Linked DNA regions of Kluyveromyces lactis. The protein of the gene in region 1 interacts with the protein of each later gene in a biochemical or structural test. Links are inferred from orthologs where the notes say so. Each region holds a gene or a part of one and is shown in the gene's direction. Other genes may lie near its edges.

Region 1 (3,585 bases):
TACCTGTTGACTAATTCATAAAACTTGGAGTCACCCACTGCCTCCTTCAAGAGAATAACGTTTTGAGGGTTAACAGTCATTGAAGGTTCCCAATTTTTCAAAAACTGCTCGAACTCCAGCAGGATAAGTGCTTTTAATGACTTTAAATCCCTTTCTCCCAAAATGAGATGCAACTCGCCGTATGTCACCATGAATTCATCTGACAGAAATTGAGGAGAAAGTTGTATTTCGAGAGCCGGCATAATGTAGCGGGAAAGGAAGTGTTCCCTGCAGCTAATAAAGTCAATAATAGGTAAATACTGAACGGTTATTTGACGTAGCATCCTCGAATATCCGGTATTTGAATCTAACCAATAACATAAGGGTTGATACACCAACCTATAAATGCTGCTTTGTGTTTCGTTCAAAATATATCCAGATTCCATTCTATATGAAAGAAACCTTATTGCTGCCCTCAAATGGTTCAACTTTTCGACCTGCATATCTGCCGTATTAATTCCACGATTAAGCTCTTTGAGCAAGAACATGGTACAGAGCTTATCAAGTATGTCATCGTCATTTATTTCTAGGCATTCAGTAATCTGATCTTCAAGACTTGGTTGCGAAAGTTGTTTTTCCTTGACTTTTTCTAAAACACTTTGTAGCCTTTCCTCTTGGTGTACTTTGCGCTCGTCATCTAGTTGAGCTTTTTCCAAGCCAACTTGTATTCTATCTATGTCCGAATGAAGCTGCAGAAGCTTATTAGCAATTTCATTCAAAGAGGAAATCTCTTCTTCATGTAATTCAGAACCATTGATTGTTCTTGTCACCGTATCAGGTAGTTCTATTTTTAATTCCGCAAGGAGACTTATATTTTGAATCAATTTCTCAAGCTGGGTGGCACGACGAGTCTTAAACTCCACTGTTTTCTTTTTATTTGAACTTTCATCTGATGATGCTGAAGTATTACTATAGTTGGAGTCATCTCTATCATGTACTGCACTTAACATCCCTAATCCGACACCTTTAGGACGAGTGACTGTTTCGATTGGGTTCACTATACCTTTCCCATCTCGTCCTAAACCTTCACCTTGTTTGTAACCCATTTTTGATAAAAGCTTGGCACCCATACCATAGGTCTTTAACATCTGGTCGCTTTTCAATCCATCATTGGAGTTGGCTTGTCGTACCGGTTCATAGTCTTCTTCTTCTTTTTGTTCTTCATTGTCATCGCTATATCCATATGGATCGGTAAATACCATACTATTCATTGTCATACTGATCTTTCTTCTTTTGAACTGATCATCGTCACTGATATGTTCTGACATCTATACTGAATCACTGGAGTAGTAATAGCTGACTTGGAGTGACTGATACTCCTTTCAATCTTTACTCCGATTAATAGGTATTTATTCATACTTTGAAAAGATTTAAAGGTTTGAAGTTCAGTCTTCGAAGTGAAATTGACCGTTTAAGGGTTTCAAATTGGAAACGTTGAAGAGATGAAGATCTTTCGGTTGATCTGAACTGCGTCTACAAGAAATGAGTGATGCTGCAACTACTATACCCAGTGATGAGATAGATAAATTGTGGAATAAGGCGAGAAACCAGCTTGTGGAAGCTCAAGTCGAATGTGAAGAATCATTAAAAATCCTCTCTAAAGTGCGAACTGAAATGGACAGCTCTCAAAAGTCCAGATTTAAACTTAAATTTATACTTAATTGTTTGGTGAACCAGGTTGAGTTCTTCAAGAATATCATGCTCGAGAAATGTATTTCTACAGAGTTGATTGACAATGAATGGTCAAAGCTGGTTTTAGTCGAGATAGTCAATGACGTGAGTTATTGGCAAAACGAGATAACAACAAAGATGAAGATCTTGCAGGGTACAAAATACGACTTGACTGACGATCACAGTAGCCTTTCAGATTTCATATGCATGGATCACGTAGACATACTACAACAAAAAATCGATGAGATTCCTATTATAAAACAACAAGTGACAAACATACGACAACACTACAAATCGATAAAAGATCGAATAGAAAACCAACTAGTGGCTGTAAAGTTGAAAAAACTCAGAACTTACTTTGATTCACATTTCAGCAGGGATAGCAAAAATAATCTATTCAAATTGTTGGAAAGTGATTATGTCACTGAATTGAACGAATTTGAGAATGAACTTGCCGATTTCTTGAGATCAATCACTGATCATTTCGACAAATGCACGATATTGAAGGAACAGCAGATTCCACTACCAGATTTGAAGGAACTTTTCCAGATTGTAAAGAAAGACGATACACAGTTAGAAAATATAAGGGAATTAGTATTCGAAACGGGACTTGAAGTGAAAGCTTTCTCAAAGAAAGTCAATGAAACAATAAGTGAAATAATGGACAAAATTGGTGGATTCCATCTGCTGGCTTCCAAGATTGTGACAGAGTTAGAAAAATGTGAGGAATACTTATCTATCTTCCAAAAGATTGCTAATTTAGTATTCGTTTATAAGGAATCTTGCATAAAAAAGATTGAACAAGTGCAACAACTCTGTGAGTTTTACGATAAGTTCAAATTAGGGTATAAAAACCTTCTACGAGAAAGAGACAGACGGAAAGCCACTGCGTTACAAATGGAGAAAATATTAAAGGAATGTCAGGAGAAACTACAGGCACTGAGTGATGCTGACTTGGACCAACGCCAGCAATTTTTACTTGAAAATGGTGACTATCTTCCCGAAAACATCTGGCCAGGTTATATCGACGATATGGAATCGATGTATAGTTTCGAATATAGCATACATAATGTACCGAATTGACGGTATTGTGTTATTATTGATACATAAGTATACATATTTACAGGTATAAATTATCTTTTACATCGTTATGGTTAACATTACTTTCTGTGGTTCAAAAATTGCAAGGTATCATTTATAATTTTTCTCAAGATCGACGAACCTTTCAAAGACATCATCGATAGTTAGTAAATCCACTTTCTTCGACTCCCTGGTTCTAATCGCCACCTTGCCTGCTTCAACTTCTTTGTCACCAATCATTATAATATAAGAATAATGCTTCTTGATGGCTTCTCTAATTCTTTTACTTACAGATTCATCTCTTGCATCCATATCAACAGAGAAATGGAAGCTGTTGAGTGGAATTGGGCTTTTTGGATCACTATTTTCACCACGTAATGAGTTGACTGTCTTGAAAGCCAATTCCATTATCTTCTCATCTTCAGTCTTCACTGGGATGACCATACATTGGTTTGGATTCAACCAAAACGGCCATTTACCTTTGCTTGAATCAATTAAAATGGCCATGAATCTTTCCACCGAACCGAAAACAGCCCTATGAATCATGATAGGTCTCTTGTAACTATTATCCTTGTCCTTGAATTGTAAATCGAATCTTTCTGGCAATTGAAAATCTAATTGAATAGTGGCGACTTGATGTGATTTGCCTGTATGATCATTGACTAAAATGTCAATCTTAGGACCGTAGAAGGCACCATCTCCTTCATTGGTTGTCCATGGTTGCCCCCACGATTGCAAAGTATCCTTTAATACATCTTCAGCATGATCCCATACTTCAATATCGCCAACGTACTT
Region 2 (2,904 bases), on another chromosome or scaffold:
TTGAAGGGCGTCTTTGGTACTTGCAAAAAAATTCTCATTAATGAAAGGATCCACAAAGTTGTCAAAATTTAAAGCTTTTTCTTTGTTAAAAAGGGAAGACATTCGTTTCTTAGCTTCATCAAAGTGTTTCACCAACCTTTCATCTTCTTTCCAATTATATTGTAATTGAGATTCTCGAAATATTTCTTTTAATCCTTCATATTCAGCAAGCCCTTTCCTTTTCCTAAGCAGTTGTATCTCTTTCCATATATCTTTTGTAGAATTAACATATCCTTGATCTGATGTTTGAAGGTCTTTCTTAAGCTCAACAAAATCATGGTGTAAATCCCTGAATTGAATTTCTTCTCTGTTTAAAATGAACTGTGGAATAATATCCATTTCAAGAAAGGTCTTTCCAATTCGATGAAATGGATCTATGTCTAAAACATTTTGATTCGGATGCAAGTGTTTTTTCAAAAAACGTTCCAAAGAGTCCGTGTGCAATATTTCATTCATATCTAGATCAGTTAACAGAACAGGTTGCCGAAAATAGCATTTGGATAGTTTTAACCATCCGCAACCAAATAAGTTATAGTCAGCCATCATTTGCAATAAATAAGGTATATGAGCCTCAAAGACATCCACTTTTGAGGTGAATATTCTGCCATCTCTAAGTAATTCAGAGAGTTTATTACTATATGAACCATTCAAAAGAGTAATTTTATAGTAAGGTTCATATCCTACGTGGTATCCGTAAAATGGAACGCCTTTGACAACGGACACATTAGCAATGTATTTCAGGGAAGTTAGCTTCTCTTTAAAATCTGTTTTGGTAAAAGTTTCAATCATCCGTGTCTCAAGTATTTTGTGCAAACTGGTACATCTATTCCGTATTACTGATGCTTTATCATTCGAATGTCCGTCATATTTGATGAATATGTAAGGGAAAATGCCATGGCAATGAATTAGAACTTTGTGTCCGGTAGATAAACATCCATAGAACCTTAGTACTGGCACCTGAACAAATCGAAGTCCAGGAAGGCTCTTACTAGTTTTACAATCCAATAGAGTTGGGAAGCATTGATAGCTGTCTGAATTATTAATCTGTATGTTGATTTCATTGGAGTCTAAGCTGGAGTCTAAAGAACCAAAAATATCACTCATCTGCAAGTAATCATCATATCAGATTACAGTCACCTTAATGTAGCACAGTTATATCTTCTGATGTAAACGATGTGAATGGTATAAAAGTAATATCCTTGATTAATGGGTGATATACTGTGACCAAACTTCAGATGAGAAATAGCGATGAGCAATCCTGCAAAGTTGGGCTAAACTTGATTATAGTTGGGTATATTAGTATTCATGATTACCCGGATATTGTGATCATTCTGATACGTAATGAATAATCATATTTTAGCTAAAGTGATTCTCGTATACTGGAGTTGTCCGAGATGAAAGTGAGATCTAGTTGAACAACATTCACCGCAAGTTCCTAATCGAATTTAATAGCAAATGTTACTTTAAATTGTTCTAATCTAGATTCTGTGGTATAGGAAGAAATTTGGTGATTCTATAAAATCCACAGTGTGAGGTGTATTTACAATGAATAATGACAACACAAAAGTGTACGTAAGAGTGGCAGGTAAACGACCTGAAAATTTTGTCGAAACAAAACCATTTATTTGGGATTCTCGTCGAGATAAGATTCTATGGACCAAAATCTCAAAAATTGACTCGTTAGAGGATATGGATTGGCAGGAATTGGGGGCTGATTTAGGTGCACCAGAACCCTTTCTCAAAAAACGGAGTTATACTTTATTTCAAAATCAACTAAAAGTTTTATCGAACCAAATAGACGTTACATCTAATACCCGGTCCTCATCAGAGTCACGAAATTCCGTTGACAACAACATTCTCCAAAATTTACAGGCATCAAGAATAATGAATCATAAATTGGATAAGACGGACAACTTAGCCAATAATCAAGAGTCTAGTAGTGAACTTTCGAATTTAAGTGTGAGCAAGTCAGCACTTGAGGACGCATTGATGGATTGTTTACAACTCTGAGAGGCATCTACTACATTTGCATTCAAAAAACCAATTATCCTTCAATATTGCCCTTCTCCGGTTGACGTCAAGGTGTAATATACCCTTGTAATCAATACAGAGCTCTTCTCCCTTCTGCACATCAGTTTGTAGAATGTATTGAAAGACTCTTTCGACCCTCTTTTTCTCCACGTTAGGCACACAGGAATGGTTAAAATATGAGGCCTCCGGATGAACCATATAACCCAGATATTCCCTATCATCGTCCGACTCTGAAGTCTCCCAAATGCCAAATGAGTTTCCATATTCAGAACCAAGGATATGTCTAAAAACTGATGTTGTCATGATATACCTATACTGGGGAGCTAGAGTATAAACCCATTTGAAAACTTTGATCTGAAACTCCAGTAGAACAGGGAATCTCATTATTTTCTCCACTTCATTTGACTGAAGTTTTTCCCACGTATTCCACTTCACACTATTTCGATCCAAATGTGTCATGTTAAATAAACATTCTATCACAAACCTGATACAGGAATAATGATCCTCATCTATCACTGGAAGTTGGTTGGTGGCCTTGGCAAGTTTCATTTTGGAAACTCTAGGCATCCAAGTACTTTCTAAGTCCATCCAACAACTCTCAATTTCCTGATGCATCCGCTTATTATCGTAGTCTTTATACAATTCCGTATCTGTTTCCACGCACAGGCTTTTACCCTGTATCGATTGGAAATGCGTTAATATCATTTCATAATTCAAAATAAGATCAACAATATTCGGTCCACTTAGGAAGAAGTTTTTACACTCTTCAGTACAAAACCAAAGCCCGCTACCTTTGTACTTCTTCTCTAGTTTATGGTTTAACAAGTTCAAATC

Evidence for each region. The genes of interacting proteins can lie anywhere in the genome.
Region 2: the proteins of ATG17 (region 1) and ATG29 form a complex in vitro, tested with the Saccharomyces cerevisiae proteins (2 studies listed by BioGRID). The link is inferred for Kluyveromyces lactis from reciprocal best matches to the Saccharomyces cerevisiae genes ATG17 and ATG29.

What each region holds. Positions count from the first base shown.
Region 1 is NC_006040.1:231,860-235,444, forward strand, and holds ATG17 (protein kinase regulatory subunit ATG17), read left to right. Parts: upstream 1-1,521; coding exon 1,522-2,793; downstream 2,794-3,585. Other genes in the region: mRNA splicing protein SPP382, read right to left, coding at 1-1,307; threonine--tRNA ligase MST1, read right to left, coding at 2,902-3,585. UniProt on the Saccharomyces cerevisiae protein: Autophagy-specific protein that functions with ATG13, ATG29, and CIS1/ATG31 in response to autophagy-inducing signals as a scaffold to recruit other ATG proteins to organize pre-autophagosomal structure (PAS) formation.
Region 2 is NC_006039.1:856,821-859,724, forward strand, and holds ATG29 (Atg29p), read left to right. Parts: upstream 1-1,584; coding exon 1,585-2,049; downstream 2,050-2,904. Other genes in the region: REV3 (DNA-directed DNA polymerase), read right to left, coding at 1-1,143; SET6 (Set6p), read right to left, coding at 2,038-2,904. UniProt on the Saccharomyces cerevisiae protein: Plays a role in autophagy. Functions at the preautophagosomal structure (PAS) in order to form normal autophagosomes under starvation conditions. Also plays a role in mitophagy and regulation of filamentous growth.